Linked DNA regions of Notamacropus eugenii. The protein of the gene in region 1 interacts with the protein of each later gene in a pairwise test. Links are inferred from orthologs where the notes say so. Each region holds a gene or a part of one and is shown on either strand. Other genes may lie near its edges.

Region 1 (7,229 bases):
AATTCTCCCAGTCACACATGTGAAAGAGGTGGAGGAAGGAGAAAAGGTCAATTTTGGTTTGAGGCTTTTCCCCCCATCTTGAAAAATGTGGGTGACAATCATGGGCTAATTAACCCCAATAAGTGTATTTCGTGTTCCACAAGCCCTTGAAAATGATTTATAGGGAGACTCCTAGGAATTTATAGCCAACTGCCTAACTCATACTATGCAAATGTAGCCCCCAAGCAAGTCCACCCTAGTCCTTACCTGTGTATGTGCCTATGTGTAGTGGTGGTGGTGGGGTGCTGTCCTGAAATTTTCAAGAGGCATCTGTCTCAGTCCTGGACACAATATTGCCTGATCCTCTTCTTTTCCACTGAAGATTTCTCTGTCAAAGCAGCAGATGGTCTTAAGGCACAAACCTCTGATCCTTAAGCTGATTAATAGACTTGAAGTAATAAGCCTATTAAGAGACCTGAGCCCCCACTGGGAATGGAAAGGAATTGATACCTGTCCCAAACTAGCACACTGATCATCTCCAAATGAGTCACTGAGGATGCTTAGTCTACAGAAGAAAAGACTGCTAACACATGATTGGTGCCTTCGAGTATTTAAAGGGCTGCATCAGACTTGGTCTGCTGGACCAGGGTGGAAGGTTCGAAAAGGTCAATTTGAACTTCATATAAGAAAAAAGCTCCTAATACTTAGAGACACTCAGAAGTGGAATGTGATGCCTCAAGGGGTAGTAGATTCCCTGTGATCAGGGTCTTCGGGAGGAAGGTTTGATAACCACTTTAAGGGTCATTGTAAGGGGCATTCTTAGTCAGATATATATTGGCCTTTAGTCTCTAATGTCCTAACTGTAGGATCCTGTAACTTTGGATATCCAAGTGACTTTAGAAACAACCTAAGTGATCTTCCTGCTTCCTAGTCCTACCCATCACTTTGTCGTTGTTCAGTTGTGTTCAACTCTTACGATCCATTTGAGGTTTTCTTGGCAAAGATACTGGAGTGGTTTGCCATTTTCTCTTCCAGTGGATTAAGGCAAAAAAAAAAAAAAAGATTAAGTGATTTGTCCATGGTTACACAGCTAATAAGTATATGAGACTGAATTCAAACTCAGGTATTCTTGACTTCAGGACAGCTCATCACCAGCTGTCCCAGCCAAGAGTCAAGAAAAACCTGAGTTTCGAATTCTGTCCTCATACTACTTACTTAGCTGTGCTAACCTTTGGCAAATCTTTAATCCCTTTTTACTCTTTTTTCTGCATCTTAAAATCAACTGGACAGAGAAATGGACAACCCACTCCAGCTATCTTTGACAAGAAAACCCTCAAATGGGGTCATGAAGTCAGACATGACTGAAACAAGCAAATAACAAAATTCCTGACTCTAGGTCCAGTGCTCTGTCCACTGCAGCACCTAGCTGCCTCCTCCTCCTAATTCTGATTCCTCCAGGGTTCTGGTTGCATTAACTCTTATTCCAGCTCAGATTCTCCAATTTTTCCTCTCATCTTGTTCTTTTGAACTCTTCCCCCCTCTCCTCAGCTCACCTCTGAATTCTCTGCGCATCTAGCTAACCTGCACTAATATCCTTCCAACCCCTTAGCTTTCTTAATCCTGAGCCTTCAAACAAGCTTTTTCCTGAACTGAGGGCAAAAGGAGAGACAGAGAAAGCCATTCCCTTTTCCCCCACTTCTGTCCTGCTCTTTCTAGCCCTGCTTTAAATAATAACTAATAATAGCTAGCATTTATACACTCCACAGATGATCTCATCTCATCAGTCTCCATTTGGTACATTCTCTTCCTCCTCGAAATCTTCCATGATTACTCCCACCTAACTACAATCACTCCTCTTTAGGGTCATCTTAGCTTTTTTCTCCAGTTTGCATTTCATTTCTTTGTTTCCCTAGTTCTATTTCTCTCTGCCTCTTTCTCTGTCCTGGGTGTATGTTCATAATTCTGGGGTCAGGGACCATATATTTATTTTCCTTTGAGTCTACTCCCAAGGGTTCTCAGAGTTCTCTGCCTTCATGCTCACTTCATCCAGGGTTAGACTCCAAAAGTAGAGGAAGGCAATCTAAAAATGTGCGAGGGTCCTTGAGGGGTCACCTTGTCCATCCCTTTGCTTTTTATCTGGGTGGCAAAACCAATCTCGATTCGCTCTGGAGTTAAGGAGGAATGGAAATGGTGAGGAAGCTTAGCTTCTTTCCTGCTGTTGGGAAGACAGCAAATCAAAATTCAGTACTTAGCATGGTGCTGATGATAATAACATAGTTCCTGACTTCAAGGAGCTTACGTGCTACTTACATGCTTCTGGGGGTGGGCAGAGCAGAGGAGCTACATGTACATGACTGAAATACAAGATAGGGCCTTATATGGACCAAGGAAAGATCCAGACAAAGTACTCTAGAACACTGAGGAGAGAAGACTTTTACCTGGAGAGGATCTGAGAAGGCTTCTTGGAAGAAGGTATTGTGAAGAGTTTTGAAATAAGAGAAGAATTTGGAAAGGAGGAGATGAGAAAACAAATTCGTTCCAGGCATGGAGAAATGCCTGGACAAAGTCATGGAGGTAGAAGGTGTAATGTCAAGTTTCGGCAAACAGCTAAAGTCATTCTCTTTGACTGGAACATAAAGAAAGTGAAAGAGATTAAAAAGACTTTAGAAAACCTTGAATGTCAGGGGGAGGAGCTTTCTTTGTATTCTAGAAGCAAAGGGGACTACTGAAGTTGTGAGCTGGTAACATTGTAATATTTGTGCCCTAGGAAGATAATTTTGGCAGCTGTGCCGAGCACAGGGTTTTAGGGTCTACTGTCCGCTCACATGCATAGAACGTTAAGGTTGGAAGGAACACTAAAGGAATTCCCGTCCCATCCTCTTATTTTACCAATGAAGAAACATGCCTAGAAAGAGGAAGACTTACCCAAAGTGAGTTCAGTCATTTTTTTTCTCTTGTGTCTGACTCTTTGTGACCCCATTTGGGGTTCTCTTGGCAAAAGTACCGGAGAGGTTTACCATTTCTCTAGCTCATTTTACAGATGAGGAAACTGAGGCAAACAGAGTTAAGTGATTTGCCCAAGGTCACACAACTAGGAAGTGTCTGAGGCTAGATTTGAACTCACAAAGCTGAGTTTTCCTGACTCCTAGGCCCGGTACTCAAGGTCACACAGGTTAATATTAGGCAGAGCCAGCATTAGAATCCAGAGCTTTTAACATCTGGCCCAGGGTTCCTTCCTCTTTACCACACTGCCTCCCTGAAATGGCAAGTTTCTGCTAGAATTAGAATATGTAACCTCCAAGCACCATGAGTATGTTTTCTCTTGGCCCAGCAGAGAGCAACGGACTCAAAGTCAGACAGAAGACCTGGGTTCAAATGCTACCCTACCTCATCCTACTTGGACATGTCACTTAAATTCTCAGTGCCTCAGTTTCTTTAACTGTAAAATGAGGGAGTTGAACAGAACCACTAAGGTTTCTTCTAGCTGGAAATCTGTGATCCTATGATCCTTTATTGGGCACAGAGAAGTGGGTCTCCACCCTCCATAATAATAATGCTTCAGAGACTTCATGTAACTCCTAGAGGATTCCTGGGCTTTAATTTTGATACCCTTATCTATTTCCATTCCATGAATCTCCATTCAGTGGAGACAAAAAAACAGCATCCTTCAGCCCCGCACCCTTACAGACTCCTAGCTTTTATCCTAGGGACAGCTAGATAATGATGTGCTGGACCTGGAGCTGGGGAGATCCAAGTTCAAATCCTGCCTCAGACACTTACTAGCTATTTGACATTAGGTAAGTCAGTTAAACTCTCTTGAGGCAGTTTCCCATCTACAAAATAGGGATATTAATAGCACTCAATTCACAGAACTACTGTGAAGATCAAATGAGATAACACATGTAAAATCCTTTGCAAACTTTTAAGTACTAAGTGAATACCAGCTATTATTATTTATTATTATCTCCAGGTCCTAATCTTCCCAGCTTACCAGCCCCCCCAGTGACTCATCTCTGAGCTTGCCAAGGAAGCCCCCACCCTCTGCCCTCTTCCCATCTCCCCACCCCCTTAAGTGGAAAACACACACACACACACACACACACACACACACACACACACACACACACACACACACACACACACACCCCTCCCCCAGCAGTAGGACCAGCCTCTTCCTCCTCAGCCTCCCAGCTCTCTCCTCCCTATCCCCCCTCCCCACACACATATACACACACACCCTGGCTTCCTCTCTGGGGCCTGGGAGCAGATTCAGCTTTGGTTTCCTCAGAGGGGGGTAAGTTTAGGAGGGAGGGAGGAGTGACACCCAATTAAGCCCCTGCCTCACCCTTCCCTTCTGGCCAGGGGCTGAGTGGAGTCAAGAGAAGGCCAGGGGAGCAAACATCGGCTTCCTCTTGTCTGGGAATGAACCTCCCTCCCCTCCTCTGGCCAGGTTTGTTTCTGTGGCCCCAAAAGAGAAAGCCAGCAAGAGGGAGGGCAGGTAGAGCAGCCAATCAGAGCCCAGGAAAAGCACAAAACCAGTTGGTAGCTCTGGGTGGCCGCCAAATGAGAGCAGGGTGGCCACAAACAGGGGGGCCATGACTGAACTGCAACAGCTCCTGGAGTTTGAAATCCCCGAGGGCCAGGAGGCCCTCCGAAGCAACCACAGCAGCCTCCTCAGAGTTGCTGACTACTGTGAAAGCAACTATGTTCAGGTAAGTAGGGCTCTCTCCAACCTTCCTCCCATTGATTGCACTGGCTCCCTAGTATTTGGATGCCTTCCCCAGGCAAATCTCCAGCCCTGGCTCTGAGCTCTTCCATCCCTGATACTGAGCGCCTTTCCATAATCCTGATTCCCGTCTCTAACACTGAACACCAACTCCCATCAGTCCCAGGGGCTGGGCCATTTGAACCTGCTTTCTGTGGAACCCAGGGTGGGGGAGACTCAGCCAAAATCATTACCCCTATCTAAAAAATTCTCCATTTCCATGCCCTCCGCTTCCCCAATCTCTACCAGCACAACGCTTGGTCCCTATAGCCACAGAGCCCAACTAAGTGCATCCTGAGTTCTTCCTTTGAGAGGTGATACCATCTTAAACTATGTCCTCACCATTTTACACTTTCTCTCACCTCCTGACCTCCACCCACCCAGAGAAGAAGAGGGTTGGAGGTAAGGCCTCAGGAAAAACAAACAAACAAACAAAACCTTTTCACTTTTTCTGGTAGGCATAGGAAGTCTCTGGGACAATGAATTGAAGAAAGTCGAGTCAATCCTAGGAAAACTTAAGACAAAGAAGAGAAGACAGGTTAGATTGCGTTAGTGTGGGACTCAGAGGCAAGAAATTGCAAAATGATCTCTGGGAGGGACCTGCCAATTAAGGGAAAAGATTCTGGGATTTTCACAGTTCTCTGCATTCGGAAGTTATCCAAGCATCTGGCTGCTACTATAAGGAACTTGGCTAGAGCTATCTGCCTTCCCTGGATCTCTTTCCCCAGTTCCTCTCCCAATTGTAAGCCAAAAGAAGCTTGCCACTTTGGTGAGGGTGCAGCAGAGGGACAAGATATCTTTTAGGGAGAGCCAGTGGAAGGACATTGGGGAGAGCAAGGGCTCTGTTGAGTATATGCATATGGGAGAGATAGAATGATGGAATTTCTATTCATACTGACATTGTATCATACAAGTGGGATGCCACATGGTATGCAAAATAGCACCTGTTTTGGGGCCATCAATGAACAGTTTCACCCTTACTGTAATGTGAGGTAAGTCCATGCAGTTCAACAAACTGAGGAGAAAGCCTTGGCTTTGGAGTCAGGAAACCTTGGGTTCAAATCTTGTGTCTGTTACATGGGTGACCTGTGTCTGATTTTCAATTTCCTCATCTGTATCCCATGAGAATAATGGTCCCTTCTGCTTCTGAATCCCTTCCTTCTGGAGATCTCATTTTTCCAGAGCGGTTCTTTTTTGCCTTACTGGGAAGGAGAAAAGGAAGGAGGAGGCATGTTTCAGATTAAGAAACTAAAGTCAAGAGGAAGGAAGCAACTCACTCAGTCAGCAAAGGTATCCAAGTCCAAAGTTGGGGTTCTTAGAGACTCCAGGGCTCTGGGCTCTGCAATCCAGTGAAGTAACTAGACTTTCCAAGTTGTTTTTAGTTTCTAGTTGTTTTCTTTGCATTGTCTGGGATCCTTACAGACTGCTTCATCAAGCTGGGGGGAAGATAGGGGTGGCTGGTTAAGGCCGTTATTTAAAGAGCCCCTGGCCCACCCATGTCCTCTGCATGCTTCTCCCCAGTCTTACCAGGTGTCAGGAAAACCACAAGAGTAGCAAGGAGGAGATGGCAGGGTTAACCACAGTTCTGTAGCTCATTTCTCAGGATTGACTGACTTTCCTGATCTGGAGAAATTAGTGTGACTTTTCTTTTGGAGGGGAAGAATCTTAAACTCCATGATAAGGGTCTTCCTGATTCCTCTTGCCCCATCCTCTTCCCACACTTGACTCCAGAGGATTCTTCCTCATCAGCTAAAGCCAGAGTCAGGGTTCAGGGATGGGGTCCAGCCTTTACCCTTCCAGGATTGAGCCCAAACAGCTGTTTCCTGATCAGGATTAGAAGAAATCTTACAGACTGTCTGTAAATTCAAGCCAGAGTCAGCTTGAGCTCCTGAGAATATTTACCTCAGAAATCATGCCACAAATTGGGGTTTCATTCATTGTTTTGTTGATTGTCTAGACTTAAGAAAATTATGGATAAAATGTTAGTAATGCAGTTTTAACTTATAAATATATCCTGGATACATGTTTTTTTTTTTCTTTCCAGAGCACTGTTTGTTAATCATTTATCACCACACTCGTGTTGGTAGATCCTGTCTTTCAAATCCTATGTTTTCTTTTTCCTTGGAGGCAGTTGGGGTTATGTGACTTGCCCAGAATCACACAGCTACTAAGTGTCTGAGGCCAAATTTGAACTCAAGTCCTCCTCATTCCAGGGTCAGTGCTCTATCCACTGTGCCACCTACCTGCCCCCAAACCCTATGTTTTCAAGAAGAAACTAAGACCCAGAAAAGTTTAGTGACTTCCCCAAGGTATTCAGTATCAGAGCTGAAATTAAAATTTCTATACTTATTACACAATGCTCTGTACACAGTTAGTGTTTAATAAATGTTTAACACCAAAAGCAAACATTAGGAATAAGTATAACAGCTAGCACTGATACAGTGTTTGCCGAATACTTTACATATACAATCTCTTTTTATCCTCA
Region 2 (7,671 bases), on another chromosome or scaffold:
TAGTCTATATTCTATGCAACTTCAACACTCTGGGAGAGAACTTATTATTTTTAGACAATTCTACCCAGAAATGCTCATTTACAAGACTGATTCTCCAACCTAAGATGGATTTTGAAAAAAGAAAAGAAAAAGAAAAACTTCCTAACAAGTATAACTTTTCTAAAGTTGCATGAGAAAACGCGGGAGGTTTCCTTCACTTGAAGTCTTTGAGCAAAGGCTAGATGACAATTTATGAAATCAACTGTAAAAAGAATGGACTTGTTGGCCTCTCAAGTCCTTTCCAATCTGAGATTCCATGATTTTAAAAACTAGAATTCTATTCAGTAAATAGTTATTAAGTCCTTACTATGGACAAGCCCTGTGCTAAATATTAGACACATAAAGATAAAATAAGATGTAGTCTTTGCCCTTTAGAATTATTGTTGCTTGTCCTTTGTGCTCAAAGAGAACCAATGATGTCAGGAGGGTGATGTCTTGACTTAAAAGTGATTTCGATTTAAGTGAAGCAGGGCTGTGCAAAGTCACCAGCCTCACTTTCTCCTCTAGAAAGGCAAGACATAAATCAAGAAAACTGGTGATGGCCCATGCCCATTAGAAACTCCTAATTTAAAGTGGGGAGAGGAGATAAGCCATGCTTGCAAATAAGTATGATACAAGGTCAAGTATGATAAGCAGTAGGGCAGATATGCAGACATAATGCTCTTAAACAAATTGGGGGAGACAAAGATCCTTTTCAGCTGGAAGGATCAGGAAAGACTTCATGGATGAGGTGGCACCTTGTCAATACAGATACAGGAAAGTTTGTGATACCCAGACCCAGTAGATGGGAACAAGAAGCTCCCAAGAAGACAATAAAGCAAACATCTTTATTGAACAGACATGCTTACAAAATAAAGGATAGTCAGGGAGAATTATAGAAACAGGACAGATCTGGGCTCTTGGTTGGAATAGGGCACCCCACCTAGGGCACCCTCTTCCATAACAGTAAAGCCTGGTGAGTTTTGACCAGTTCTTAGGTAAGTCTAATAAAATAAACCAGAATAAACACTAGGGGAAGTGATTGAGAAGCCTGAACCTATGGACTGGTGCTAATTCAGATTGGGAGAAAGAGGAGGCAGAGGAGGGGGAGGCAAAGGGGTTTTGGGTTGTAACTATAGGTCTTATATTTACAGAGTAACTCAGCTTCTCTGACAGGGATTTCTGGGCTTCTTTGATTAGTTTCTCAGACAGGCTAATGTATTCCTTATACACTTCAACTTGAACTTAGACTTTAAGAATCATAGCATCTTCTAGTTCAAAGGAATCTTAAAGGTTATACAGCCCAGTGATGCCACACATCACCACCAAGTGTCCACTTGACCTCCTTTTAAACATCTCCTGTGATAAGGAACCTCTGCCTCTTGAGGAAGCTCATCACATTGTGGGGCAGCTAGAATTATTAGGCAGGTTTTTTGTTCTCCTCTTTATTTGAAATCTCCCTTCCTCCAATTTGCTGCTCATTGGTCCTAGTTCTGTAGCTAGGTGTTGCAGTGGATAGAGTGTTGGGCCTGAAGTCAGGAAGACATCTTCAGACGCTTATTAGCTGTGAGACCCTGGGCAAGTCACTTAACCCTGTTTGCCTCAGTTCCTCATTTGTAAAATGAGCTGGAGAAGGAAATGGCAAACCTCTCCAGTATCTTTGTCAAGAAAACCCCAAAGGAGGTCATGAAGAGTTGGACACGACTGAAAGCAACTGAACAACATTGGTTTTATGGAATAATACAGAATAAGTATAGGCCCTCTTCCCCATGATGACCCCTCTTATATTTGAAGACACGATCAAAATCATCACGGTTTTCTACATTTTTCACACAGATTGTTAGCTGTCTGAGCGAACTGCTACCTTTTAGACCTGGTTTTTATTTATATTTTACTTATTTCAGTCCTAGAAATTATTTGAAAAAAGAATGGGAGGAAATTTCAACTCTTCAGTATATATTTGTTTTCATGTGGTATCCCACATTAGATTGTAAGTTCCTTGAGGTCAAGAATTGTCTTTTGCTTCTTTTTGTATCCCTGGCACTTAGTACAGTACCTGGCACATAGTAGGCTCTTAATAAATTGATTAATTGGTGCTGAAAAATTGATTCTTCCCCTGTGTCTCCCAGATCAAATAGAATAGTACCCAGTTCTGTATTATGTTCAAACCACCTTGCCCCAGAGCCTTCCCATTCTATGATGCTTTTGCCCTCTCTCCTGGGCTTTTAGCCATAGATATCGATGTTGCCTCTGGTTCAGTCCCTGCTTGTTATTTCCATCATGTTTCTATAATGATTCATCTGACAACAGGTGGATTGGGGAAATGAATCTAATTATACCAGTTAGAGTTAAGTAGTAGTATCATGGAATGAAGTCTCCTCCACAGACTTCCTAAATATTCCAATTTTACAAAAGAGGAAACTGAGGCACAAAAAATTAAGTGCTGCACATCTCACATACTTCTATCACACCCTCCCAAATCTGCCAAAGGTCATAAAACTACCCAGAAAAAGAGGCGAGATAAAAACTTAATCTTTTGTCTTCTAGACTAGGTCATACAATCTAATGGAAGCAGATGTTATGGCTACCCCATTGGAGGTCAGACTTGGTCACCCCTCATCAAAGTATATTTTCCAGGAGGACATGGAAAACGCTGGTTGACAACTTGAGATTTGAAGTTCTTACTCTGACCCAAGTGGTGCTAGAGAAAGAGTGATGGATTTAAGGTTCAATGACCCAAGTTTGGATTCCACCTTGTGTCACTTTAGTACCTATGTGATCTTGGGCAAATTACCTGACTTCTCAGCACCTGAGAATTCACATCTGTAAAATGAGAGGAGAGACAAGGAGATCCCCAAGGGCCATTCTAACTCCAAATCAATGATTCTGTGATCTCCCCTAGTAGCAGCTTATCTGAGGTCATGCAGTGAGTTTGTGAGAGACTCCGGAATAGGGCGGAGTTGGGAGGAAAAGAAGGGTAGAGTAGCAAAACGAATGTTGGTTTAGGAGTCAAAAACTAGTGTCAGCTCTGCTTCTGACTAACTATGTCATTCCCCTCCCTTCCCCCCCCCCCCATTTTCCCACTAATTCTTGGCATTTGAATTTTCTCTTAGGATGTTACTGTGTTGTTCAGTTGTTTCCAACTCTTTATGACTCCATTTGGGGTTTCTTGGTAAAGATACTGGAGTGGTTTATCTACCATTCCCTTTTTCAATGGATCCATTTTGTAAGGCAATCAGAGATTAAGTGATTTGCCCAGGGTCACACATCGAGGCTGGATTTGAATTCAGGTCTTCCTAACTCCAGTTCTCTATCCACTGAGCTACCTACTTGCCTCTCCTAGGATATTAGACCTAGTGATTATACTAATGAAATTACCTGGCCAATCAGGAGGCTCGGAATAAAGTCTCAACTCAAGGCCATATGCTCTTGAAAAATTAGACTTTTTGTAAATATTCACATTTTAACAAATTTCCCAATCTTCTTTTACCCTGAAACAACATTCAGAGTGGCTTTTGGTTTTGTTTAGCGGTTGGACAGCAAGAAAGGTGTAAGAAACAAAACTCAAAATGACATTTAAAATTCTTTATGTGATTGCCAAGGGAAACTGCCTCCTAGTAGGCTATGTTTGCATTTGAAGAATTCAGGTACACTCCTGCTTTCCTCTAGCATCTGAGCCTAGGTTTTTGTTCTAAGTTTACTAAGTTTTTTCTTTCCTTTTTGGGGGGGTGGGGCTATCATCATCATCACTAGTAATGGTGAAATTTGGCTCTGGAGAATTTTCCATGACCTTATCCAATTATACCTACTTGATCATAGAAACATTGAGTGTCAGATCTGAGAGGAATCTTAAAATCACACAAACACACGTGTACACACAATCATTTCTCAACATGTGTGCTCTTATTCCTCCATGCCTTTTCTTGAACTTAAAAAGATGAGTAGGGATTCAGTGATGGAATGAGACGTAGCGAATATTCCGAGCAGAGAGCACAATTGAGCTGAAGGAGAGAGAGGTGAGGAAAGATTGGAAAGGGAAGGCCATTGAGTCCAAACCTCTCATTCTAAAGACGAGGAAACTGAGATTCAGAGAAGGCGCAGACTAGTGCAGACTCACAGCAAATTCAGCTCATTCACTTCTGAGGCAAAATTGGAACTCCCGCCATCCGGGTGGTGCCAGATTGCAAAGGATGCTGAGTCCTAGGGAAAGGGTCTTGAACTTGGGGGACAGGGGGTAGACAGTGAAGGTTTAAGAGCAGAGAAGGAACATGACCAGCTCTCTGCAGAAGCACCAGATTTCTGAGGATTTTTTCCAAGTCGGGCTGGATGTCCGTAGCCGCTCCTAGTGAAAACAGCCCCCACTACCATGGCTAGCCACACTACCCCAATAAGACCAGAAAGCTGCGGCTGGATTCCCCCAATTAGCCCAGCAGATGACAGTGACAAAGGCTGGCTTCTCCTTCTCTCTCTCTGGACTCCCCCAACCCCCACCTCCCTTGGAGATGCCAACCCTGGAGGGGGAGGTGTGGTGCTGAAACCCATCGATCTGCGATTGAGCGCGTGGCCCAGTCGGGTCCTGCCCAGAACCTGCCTGCCACCGCTGTGGAAGAAGGCAGCTCCCAGGGTGCTGCATTCATCAGAATTGCTGAGCTGATCACATGGTTTTCTTCCTGCCTTCCCCGTTAGCTGCTCCTTGTCAGCAGCTGGCGGAGCCCGAGGCCGCAGGCCAGTGTGTCTGCAGAAAACCTTTCCCGGCCCTACGTTGCAGAACGCCAGCCTCCTGCTCGCGCTCCCACACCCGCGCCGCCGCCAGCCCGCCTCGCTAACTAAATGGTTTTCCTCCGTGCCAGGGAGATTTCCGTGGATCCCAAGGAAGCTGCCTCTGACTAGGCCATGTTTGCATTTGAAGAATTCAGGTAGGCTCCCGCTTCCCTGCATCAGCCCGAGCCTGGCTTTTTGTTCTGAGCTTACTGGGTGTTTTGTCTTTCTGTCTGTCTTTTCTTTTCTTTTCTTTCTTTCTTCTTGTTTGCTGTGTAATGACACTCTGGGATCTGGCCGCTGCTGCTGCTTGCTAGCAGGGCTGACTTCGGTATTTGTTGGCGGGTTAGAGGGAGATTTGGTTTGGGGAGATTAGGGTTGGGGGGTGCGGGTGGAGATGGAAAGCCCGGGATCCAGGGAAAGGATGCTGAGTGAAGGCTGAAGTGATAGCCAGATAACTGATTTTTCCGTTGCACGAATTGATTAAGATCCACCTGGATGCCGGTGTAGGGCTCTGAATACCAAGCAGCCCAACATCGGTCCACCCTTTGTCAAACCCAGGAGAGAATGATGCTCCTTTCAAAAATAAATAAATAAAGTGGGGAGGTGGGGGATGAGAAGAATGTTAATGGTGGTAGCTGAAGCCGGAGAATTTTGGCAAGTCTGCAGAGCTGAGATTTGGCTTTGACTTCATCAGATGTTTGTTATTTTTAATAATAATCTCCTGGCTGGGGAGCTCTGGGTGAAGCCTGTTGGAAGGGTTTCCCTAAGCAGGCTTTCTCTTTGCTGTTTGTAAGCGGTTCAGCTGCTGCTGCAGTTCTTAATGTTCCAAATTAGCATCTTTTGTGAGGCTGACTTGCCCCCTCTTTCCTCAGAGAACCCATCTCTGAGTATCAGTGTGGGAAGGGTAGTTTGGGCGAAATGAAAATTAAGGAGGGTAGGGCTGAAAAGGCAAACAGATGGATTCTATGTTATGTGCCACCTCTTGTGAGCTTATGAAGGAGTGTGTTTGCTGGGATTCCTGACCTCTACTAGCCTCTGGTTTTCTGAGAATGATTTACTTTTTATTTTTATACTAAGCCAAACCATTAAAACAGCTGGAAAGACTAGTGACTCAGGATGTCAGAACTGGAAGAAAACTTGGAATCATAGAACATGGAATGTTGGAATAAGAAGGGACCTTGGAATCACAATATGAAATGTCAGAGCAAGAAAGGGACCTTAGAATCATAGACCATGGAATGACAGTGCAAGCAGGGACGATGGAACCATAGAAGAAAGGATGACCGAGATGGAAGGACCTTAGAGATTATCTGATCTATTACCTCATTTGACAGATGTGGAAACTGAGGTTCAATGAGTTTAAGTAATTTATCTAAGGGTGTACACCCAGGAAATGGCAAAGTTAAGATGAATCCAAGTCCCTTGTTTCCAATCTACAGGGTCTCCTTGACGGCTTTACAGCCATCATCACAAAACCCTTATCTGATTTCCCAAAATGCTACAACCCTATCCCCTTATTTAAAATAATCACAAAACAACCACCTTAGTAGATATAATAATTATAAGAGTGAGGGAGGGAATGAATGAAAGAGGGAGGAACCCTTTTCATACAGACAAGGAAAATGAGTTACAAGGTTGGGCTATAGATGTCTTTCCATAAACTTGGCTCTTAAGATTCAAGGATTTCAGTTTGTGTTGTGTTTAAGAGGCTTGCTCCTTAAAGTTAGAAATTGGAAAGGCTTATTCTTATGGGTAGAAAGAGGTCATAGATGGTGAGGAAACTCTGGTCTTATACTTCAAGGACTATTTTCTGTAAGCAATGGTAGAAATGAGGACTGGTGGCATTTCACACTTGCCAGCAGGTTTCTTTGGCCTGAGTGAAGGGGTGTTCCTGGAATCCGTTAGAATGCTGTGTAACTGCAGTTGCCAGAGCATTGTTAACCACAGTCCATTCAATGATAACAGGAACTCATTTGACAGATATTTATTAAAATACCTACTGTGTAATAGGCATTGTGCTAGGCACTTAGGGACACTTTTTTAGTCACTTTAGAACTTGAAAGAATCTTTTGAGATCATCTAGTTTAACTCCACCTAGTTCGAGTCTAACTTGTTGCCCAAGGTTACACAGATAATGACTATCAGGGACAGGAAATAGCGAATAAATGGTGGAGTGGAGATTCAAACCCAGATCCTTTGACTTTAAACCTAGAGTTTTTCCATTATACCATACTGGCTGGGGGATGGAGGAGGGTGGGAAGGGATGCATATAATGTAGTATTCAAACCTGTTTCCACTCTTAAAGGTCCTGGCAATAAAGTGGATTTAGTCCTAGTGCCCAGAACTGGGGAAATAGTTCTCTACACACTCTGCCCTGATCAGACTACACCTGGAGAATTGTGCTCGGTTCTAGGCAACCCATTTGAGAAACAATGTTGATTGGTTTGAGATTGGGAGGGCTACCAGTAAGAAGAAAGAGGCCAAAATCAATCTGAATGAATCTTAACTGAAGGAGCTAGCGTGCTTAGCCTTGAGAAGACAGAGGCAGGACAAAAGACATTGGTGTGAGAAGGGACTGTATTACTCTAATTGTTCAGAGGGTTTTTTTCCTCCCCCAACCCCCAATTCAAACCTAAATCTGCTATTTCCACCCACTGCTCCTGCTTTCTGGGGCCAACCAGAACAAGTCCCTCCTCCAAATGATAGTCCTTCAAACCCTCTGAACAATTAGAGGAATACAAATGTAGGATGGGCTGCTTCTCGAGATAGTGGGTTTCTCATCACTGCAAAAGCTCTTCAAGTGCTTGTCGGGGATTGTATAGAGAGGATTTGGGTGATGGATCATATTAGATGAACTCTGAGTTCTACTAAGCTCAAAGATTTTATGAGTCT

The links.
Region 2: the proteins of ABI3 (region 1) and EVL interact in binary tests that used the Homo sapiens proteins (3 or more experiments, as listed by UniProt). The link is inferred for Notamacropus eugenii from reciprocal best matches to the Homo sapiens genes ABI3 and EVL.

What each region holds. Positions count from the first base shown.
Region 1 is NC_092873.1:351,666,047-351,673,275, reverse strand, and holds the start of ABI3 (ABI gene family member 3), read left to right. Parts: upstream 1-4,217; 5' UTR 4,218-4,574; coding exon 4,575-4,691; intron 4,692-5,182; exon of another isoform or gene 5,183-5,258; intron 5,259-6,021; exon of another isoform or gene 6,022-6,180; intron 6,181-6,271; exon of another isoform or gene 6,272-6,567; intron 6,568-6,646; exon of another isoform or gene 6,647-7,229. UniProt on the Homo sapiens protein: May inhibit tumor metastasis. In vitro, reduces cell motility.
Region 2 is NC_092872.1:355,478,098-355,485,768, reverse strand, and holds the start of EVL (ena/VASP-like protein), read left to right. Parts: upstream 1-4,650; 5' UTR 4,651-4,911; coding exon 4,912-4,934; intron 4,935-7,671. UniProt on the Homo sapiens protein: Ena/VASP proteins are actin-associated proteins involved in a range of processes dependent on cytoskeleton remodeling and cell polarity such as axon guidance and lamellipodial and filopodial dynamics in migrating cells.